Linked DNA regions of Mus musculus. The protein of the gene in region 1 interacts with the protein of each later gene in a biochemical or structural test. Links are inferred from orthologs where the notes say so. Each region holds a gene or a part of one and is shown on either strand. Other genes may lie near its edges.

What was found.
Region 2: the proteins of Runx1 (region 1) and Dtx2 form a complex in vitro, tested with the Homo sapiens proteins (2 studies listed by BioGRID, with this or other methods). The link is inferred for Mus musculus from reciprocal best matches to the Homo sapiens genes RUNX1 and DTX2.

What each region holds. Positions count from the first base shown.
Region 1 is NC_000082.6:92,823,248-92,827,515, forward strand, and holds the start of Runx1 (runt-related transcription factor 1), read right to left. Parts: upstream 2,828-4,268; 5' UTR 2,687-2,827; intron 2,458-2,686; 5' UTR 2,400-2,457; coding exon 2,342-2,399; intron 1-2,341.
Region 2 is NC_000071.6:135,993,508-135,997,673, forward strand, and holds the start of Dtx2 (probable E3 ubiquitin-protein ligase DTX2), read left to right. Parts: upstream 1-1,292; 5' UTR 1,293-1,459; intron 1,460-1,579; exon of another isoform or gene 1,580-1,817; intron 1,818-2,782; 5' UTR 2,783-2,945; exon of another isoform or gene 2,946-3,093; intron 3,094-4,166. UniProt on the Homo sapiens protein: Regulator of Notch signaling, a signaling pathway involved in cell-cell communications that regulates a broad spectrum of cell-fate determinations.

The DNA.
Region 1 (4,268 bases):
TCTCCCCACAGGAATGCCAGGGTTACAGATGGAACACAGCACTGCACCTGGCTTTTATGAAGGTTCTAGGGATTCGAACTTAGATCTCCATGCTTGCATTGTAAGCATTCACTCTTCTCCCCATCCGTTTCTGGGTTTTGATAAGACCAAGGCAGCCCGCTGAATGTGACAGACTCTGGCTCCCTAGCCAGTGCTGGCACTGCAGGCGCTGCAGGCAGAAGGCTTGTTCCCTGTTACCACATCCCTAACTGTCTTTCTGTTGAACTCATACAGGAATTGCCAGGAGGGCAGCACAGGCTGCAGCCAGCCTACTGCCCAGGGGAATATTCAGAGTTCTCTGCTTCTGTCTTCCTGAGGTCACCTAATAGGAAACTGCAAGCGTTCGGAGCATGCATTGAGAGGAGAGTAAGCCAGGAATTTTCATTCAAAGATGGCTTCCTTAGCTTGTTGGCTGCCGGGAGGAAACACAGCCAGTGAGCAGCTGGTGGCTTCTCACCAGGGGCCCCTGGGGCTGCTGTCTCTGCCTAACTCTCTGCAGGACACTGGATGATACATGACTCAGACCTGTCCCCATGAGTCAACCTCACTCAGACCTCACTCAGATTTCTCTGTCACCAGCAAGGGAGTGCTTGGAAGCCCTTAATTTAAAGCTTGAAATTGGTTAATGACTTACTTTTTTTCCTCTTCTCTTTAAATCCTGATGCACCCCCCCCAAACCTACAAACACATGTGCCACCACACACACACACACACACACACACACACCACATATATACCACATACACATAGACACATACCACATCTCATTCACACACACACACACACCACACACACATATATACATACCATACCACACACACACATATACACACCACACCACACACACATACACACATCCCCCACACATGTACCACACACACATAGGCATACACACACACCACACACACACATATACCACATACACATAGACACATACCACATCCCACACATACACACACACACACCACACATATACATACCACTCCATGCACACACATACACACACACACACATACACACATACCACACACACACATACATACCACACACACACACACATATATACCACACACACATACATACACACACCACATATATACATACACACACACACACACACACACACCTTCCTCCAGTTTTCACGTTTCAGCATAGATGAACCATCACAACCTCAATAGCCTTTGTTGTGACAAAGTCGCCAGCAAGCCCTCGAATTCCCCTACTCATTTGGCTGTATGAATAAATAATGATTCACAGATACTGGCTGGGTGTGCACATAATTTGTATCCAGAAAACAAATGATTTCTTCCCCATCCCATCCCACTCCATTTTAGCTCTGCCAGAGCATCATACCACAAGCTACACGTCCTGATACACGGCCACGTCTTTGTGAGCTCTTTATGCCACTGTTTTTCTTTACTTAAGCTCAGTCCTCATCCTGAAAGACCCACCAAGCCCACATGGGCACTATGGCTGAACTCCAGCATTGTAAGTTCCATAAGGCCGCTGTAAAAAATGCAGGAAGGTTCAGGGACCTACGTGGTGCCAACCCATAAGTCTGTAATCTAGTAATTTCTGCTGTGACAGTGCGTGGACTTAGGAAATGGCTTCATAGTTCTTTCTGAGAGAGACTGTGTACCACAACTTGCTGGCTTTCTGTCTTGAGCAATGCCGGCTGCCTCTTTCAATTGAGGCTGAAAGAAAAACCACAGCACAACACAGCATCTTCTGATGGCTTTTCCCAGAACGAGTCTGCCCAAATCCTGCCCTCTGTGGACTTGCCACTTTGGCCCTGAAATCTCCGCACTGATCCAAGGTATACCTGTGAGCTGCCTCTCGGAGACCACTCTGCTGGCACCGGCTCTTCCGGCCAGCTAAGTACTGAGCCTGCTAAACCCAGGGGCAAGCCAAACTCAGAACCAGGGCCAGACAGCTTGCTGCCATCAGAGTAAGTGCAAGCGAATCATTCAGAGCAAGGCACAGCCAGATAAAACCCAAAGAGTGTCCTCCGCGCCAGCCTTCTAATCTCTGGGACTTTAACTGAGAGCGGCTCAGAGCACTTGACACAACTTTCACCCAGCGACCAAATATTTCAACAGCCTAAGCATTTATTAAAACATCCCCGCAGCACGGCGTCTGACAAATAATAATCTCGTGGTCTCAGAGTCAACAGCCTCTGTTTGAATTCCTCCCCCCACAAGCAGGCAGGGACTTCAGGCAGGCACCGGAGGGTCCACGGGCTGCCATCTTAGTCTGCGCAAAGCTGAGCAAAATCAGATATAAAAAAGACCAGCGTACTCACCTCTCATGAAGCACTGTGGATATGAAGGAAATGACTCAAAAATGCTGTCTGAAGCCATCGTTTCCTTTCGAAAACGCACCTCTCCTGAAGGCGGGGGATTCTATAATTTCTTTCACCTTCAGAGCAAAAACCAAGAAATGTCACTTACTCTGACCTCACCTCCCACCATGGCTCCCCACGTCTCTTTCTACCCCCAACCCTAACACTTCTGGTACTCCATGGGTCCTATGGGGTGGGGGTGGGGGAAAGAATTATTGCAGAAACAAATATTCAAATTGTTAAAGATTAAAAAAAGGAAAAAAAAAAGACGAAAGCACCGCCTATGCTGTGGGTTGAACTGCTCACCGCTCTGCGAAAGCCTGTGGTTTGCATTCAGTGTGATTCGTCCTGCCTGCTGACCACTGTGCTGGGCTTACACTTCTGACACTGCCAGGCTACCCAACTTGTGGTTCTGTGGTTGTTTATGAGGTCCAAAGAAGTTTTCACACAACCCAAATTACAAATTTAACTGTTCCCCTTTCCACAGCCCACCGCCATTGGCTCTTGCCAATCACGTGACTTAAGTGATGTCAATTTTTTTTTTTTAAACTTTCTGAGCTATGCCCTTCCTGCCCTCCACCTGCCCTCCCCCAGGCTGTGTAAGGAAACAGTTGAGCAGAGCTTAGCAGAGAGGGGCTGTAAGAGAAAAAAAAGCACAACAAACAAGCAAACAGAAATCCCCTGCCTCAGTCTTTTCTTGCTCTCTCTGTCCTGTGCGGATTTGGTGGCTTTCAGATCCTGTTGTTATTTGTGGTTTGAGGAACAACTGATTATTTAGATAAAGATTGCCTTGCTGTTTATTCAACAGCAATTCAACGTTGGCACCAACTTGCTGCTGAGCCCGGATGCGGCTCTCATCACTTAAATGCTGGGCACCAGCTCGGGAGAGCTGGGTTCTTGGTGAAAGCAAGTGAGACAGAAAAGTTAGAAAAGAAGACCAAGAGCCCTTTTCCGTGAGTGGCTGATCCTGGGAGGGCTAGGCTGGCAACCTACTGACATCTCAAAGCTTGGGAACAGTATGACACGTTTTAATTGTGGGATGAAAAGACCACTTTGATCAAAACCCAAATGATGTTGTCCTTGGCTTTCCCCTTGGCGGATAGGCTTAGCATGGACATCTCTTGGTAAGTAGAGGAAACAGTGGCGTTCTCTTCACACTGGCACCAGTTCCCACGCTCGCTTGCATTAGGAAGTTTTGTGGAGAGCAAAGGAGGAGAATTTCCTCACTCAGCAGAGCTGTGGCCTGTGGGCAGCTATCTGTTCATTGTTTGTACCAATAAAGCCTACTGGTAGCCTTTCCGAGCTCCACTCAAAGAAATGGGCCAAGTCACCCTGCTAGGGATAATTACTCTTTGAATCCATGAAGAGTAACTTGTGACTACCCAAGATCCTGCCTCCTCCTGGCCAGCCCCCGGAGGGGGATATTACACAGCCCTTCAGCCTCCAGAAGTCACATGGTCAGGGGACAGACAATAAAGACAAGATGATTCTGTGGGTGTGAGCTCTTCTGTTCACCTCCACCTATTGACCTCTTCGTTCTATCTGTTTTACTTGCTGAGAAGTGAAGCCTTAGTCTTCCTGGGATCCCCAGGCAGGGCCTGGCCTTCCTTTCCTTACTTGGGTCTTCCTTTTCCTCTGTTCAGTTTCCCTCCATTTCGAGGTGATGCCCGATGAGAGGCTGGGCCTTGAGCAGCGTAGCTCCAAGTGCCAGCCCTGGGTCCCAAATTCCAGGCATGCAAGGTACTTCTCTAAGTCTGAGCCCCAGAGGGAACTCTCATTTGGTTTTCATGGAGATAATTTTGCACACACAGTAGAGACCCAGGGTATTAATGATACAGGTCTTTCCAAAGGACCAGACTCCATTTTTACTTAATCCTATTTTAACCTA
Region 2 (4,166 bases), on another chromosome or scaffold:
CCCCTACTTCCACTAGGAGGGACTTATGTAGAGCTTTTGGGGACAGACACGTTTTCTTTGGGCTGTGAAGTCATTAAGATCTTTCTGGCTGTATAGATTATACGTGGGTCCTTGGTGGCTACCATCGGCACTAGGAAATGCCAGGTGCCATCCATTCATCAGAAATAATGAGCAAAGCAGCTGTGTCTTATCAGACTGTCCCTCTGCAGTGTCAGATGGAGACCAATTAGCAGAGGCAGGAAGCAACACAATTCTGCCTTTCCAAGCAAAACAGTAGCAAGCACCCCTGCTCCTCAGTGACACTGCTGAGGCCAGGCCTCCTTGACTTCTCTAGCTGTGTTCATCTTTTCTGCTTGGTGAGCCGGGAGCAGGTTCTGGGAATGGAACAGGCTCTGTGAAGTGGAATTTTAAGGACTTCTTTTGCAAATCCAGGGTCTTCTGCCTACTCGATAGATAAGTGCTCTACCACTGAGCCAGGCCAACTTAAGCCAAGGTTTAACTTTTTTTTTTGTTTTTTGTTTTTTGTTTGTTTGTTTGTTTTTCGAGACAGGGTTTCTCTGTGTAGCCCTGGCTGTCCTGGAACTCACTTTGTAGACCAGGCTGGCCTCGAACTCAGAAATCTGCCTGCCTCTGCCTCCTGAGTGCTGGGATTAAAGGCATGCGCCACCACGCCCGGCTTAACATTTTTTAATAGATTCTTTTCTTATTTAAAAATTTTAAATCTATGTTTTTAAAGACTGTGCTTGTAAGCTCAGCAATTAGGAAGCAGAGGCAGGAGGTTCAAGAGTTTAAGAGCAGCCTAGGCTTACATCACAAATTCAAAGCCACTCCGAGGTACATGAGATCCTGGACCCCTTCCACCCCTACAAGTGGACTCTTATAGCTGGGGATTAATTAGTAGTAGAACACTTGTCTACTGTGCTTGCATTAACTTTGATCCTCAACACCACAAAAGGAAAAATCAGGGTTGGCGATAGGGCTCAGAGGGTAAAGGCATTTGCTGACAAGCCTGACACCTTGAGTTCGATCCGTGGAACCCACGTGAAGGTGGACACGGAGAACGGACTCCTAAAGTTGTTCTTTGACCTCTGTAAGTACACCCCCCTCCAGAATATACACACATAATAAAAAGAAATATAAAAATTATTAAAAATCAAATGCATCAGTGATTAGCGAGGGAGTAAGTCAGTAGGAGAAAGAGAAGGCTGGGTACATTTATATCTGCTGGTGTGCTTTGGTTCAGCCCACTCAGCTTCATCAGAACTACATTTCCCAGAAGGCACTGCGTGAGGTGGACATGCGCAGCGCGGTGCTTGGAGGCTGCGACGCCGAGTTTCACTCCGGCTGCCTCCGGCTCGGAGTCGGAGACATACTCGAGGGTTCTTCCCAGGCCGAGCCGGAGCTGAGCCCGGAGGTCGGCGGTCCTCTCAACCTGTTCCTTCTGCTTCCCTCAGACTCGGTGAGCGGGACGGGCGGGCCACCTGCTGGCGCCCAGCCTGGGGTCCCGAGGGTGGGTGGGTGGGTTGAGGAGAGGGGGCTATTGAGCCAAGCTGAGACCGGAAGGGGGCGGTCGTGCGAGGAGGGAGGGCCGTGCCGGCGGGATGGGTGAGTCCTGGGGGCGTTGGGAGCCCTGGGCACCTCGGTACCAGGGTCCTGGAGGCGGGAAGTCGCAGTTGGGACGCTCTGAGCGTTGGGGACTGGGCTGGGTGTGGTAAGAGCCCTATTTTTTGCAGAGACAGGGGTCGCATCCCTGGCAGTTTGAGTCCTACAGGACCTGGAAGAGCAGTGAGGCTATTGCTACCCTGGCTCCCTGAGGGGTCAGTTTCAGTCCTGGAGCGTTTGTGTGTGTGTGGGGGCGTTACATCCAGGCGATAGGGATCCACCACTGTCTGAGAGAGTTGGACTTTGGAGGCGTTTGCCTTTCCATTCTCGGTCTGTGTCAGACTGGGTCTCTGGGGCACTTTGGGGTGTCTCTGTTTTGAAGCTCCGCTTTTCATCCTATCCCTCACACAGCTGCAGGGTTGCCCGCGTTAGCTTTGCCTCCACAGTGGCATGAATGGGAATGTGTTCACAGGCAAGACCTTTAATGAACTCTCTTTTCTCCGTGCCGTCTTAGCCCCTTTAAAATTCTAGAGAGCCCAGCAATGTGTTGCACATTTATAATCCCAGTATTTGGGAGACAAAGGTTTGCGGGTAGCTAAAGCTTGCCTGTGCTTCATCACAAGATACTATATTACATCCCTCTCACTCCCCAAAAGAGTGCTAGCCAGGTGTGGTGATTTATGACTGTAATTTCAGCACTTGTGAGGCAGAAGCTGGAGACTCAGGAGTTCCAGTCCAGCCCTAAGCTATATACTGTGGCCCCTGCTTAAAACAAAACAAAACAAAAAAACCCCCAACAACCCAAAAGTAACAGTTCTGTGATGTAGAGTTCCCAGTAGCCACGAGAATCAGGATTGACTTCAGTTGGTCAAGGTGTCAAGTCTCTTTGCTTATTTTCTGTGTGACTTTGGTCAAATTTTTATCCTCTCTGGTGTGTTGATTTCCTTCATGGACCATCCGTGGGACCGGTTTCTGAAGTCCTCACGCAGACTTTTCTGAGAAAGGGTTTAATTGAGTGGGCTGAGAAAGACTGTCCCTAGCTTCTGCTCCCTGCCCAAGCTGTTGGAAAATAAGCCTGGTAATTTCCAGTTGCCAGCCACAGCACACGGGACCCAACATCTGTGCGCTCATTTTCTCTTGCCGATTCTTCACTGAAGACTTAATCATCTTTTTGGCAAAGGTACCTCGGAATCGGTGTGGCTGAGTCAGCAAGGCCTCAGATTTGCCGGGTTCTTGTTTGCTGTTCCTATCAAGATGGGAGCTCAGACAAGTTATTGCTTCTGAGGATCTGGTGCTTTCATCAAGAAGGGACAGTTTGGTGCCAGCTCTTCAGTGAAGAGGAGGTGAGAGCCGCGGGGAAGTTAACCTTGCAGCTTTTGAAATCTGGTGTTCCAAGGAGAAGGTGGGTGTGGACCCTGAAGGGAGATGGCTCAGTCCATACAGTGCTTGCCTGGCGAGCAGGAGGGTCCAGATTTGCTCTCCAGAACCAAGGTAAAAAGCCTGGCATGGTGGCATGTACCTGCACTTTTAATGCTAGGGAGGAGACAGGTGAATCCCTGGGGTTTGCTAGTCAGCCAGCCAGCCACGTATTTGGTGAGTGAGCAAGGTTGATAGCACCTGAGGAACTGCAATCCAGGCTGTCCCCTAGCCTGCGGGAACACCCATGCATCTGTGCACACACACACACACACACACACACGCTTTATGGACGGTGGGATTCTGGGGTTCCAGGAGTGAGATGAGGCCCAGGAGTGGATTGTTGATTGCCAGATGTTGCAAATAAATTCACGTGGCCCCTTGCCAGCACAGCCTCTGTCTAACCAGTCTCAGAGGATGCGCCATCCTACCTTAGACATCCTTTATGGGCTGGGAGCAGCTTTGGCAAAGTGCTTAGCCAGCATACAAGACCTGAGTTCAAGCCCCAGCACTTCAGAACATTTATTTTTTATTATTACTTAAAAAAAACGAAACATGCATTTGTTGTGTGCGCATGTGTGGAGGTGACAGGGCACTTTGCAGGAGTCACTTCCCTCCACCAGGTGAGTTCTGGAGATCTAAGTCAGGTGATCAGGATTGGCAGTAAGTGCCTTTACCTGCCAAGCCATCTGACTGGCCCCTCCCAATTCTATTTAATTTTTTAAAAAAGAAATAACACTTTATTTCCTGGCTGCACAAACCTGACCACCTGAGTTCTGTCCCTGGATCTCATAGTGGAAGGAGAGACGGGATTCCTGAAAGCCATCCCCCCTCCCCCAGCTTCTTCACCCTTCCGTTTCAAACACAAGTCCATACTCACACTATAATAATAAATTAAAAGAAAATATGCCTAGTAAGGTGATGGATGCCTGCCATCCCACACTTGGGAGACTTAGGCAGAACTGCAAGTTTGAGGTTAGCCTGGGTATGTAGCCAGTTCACCCTTGCATGGTGTTATAAGTTGTAATCCCAGCATTCAATAAACTGAGGCAAGAGGATCATGAGTTTGGGGCTATCCTGGGATATGCAGTGAATTCTAACCCAGCCTGGGCTACACAGGGAGATATTATCTTAAAACTAAAAAAACC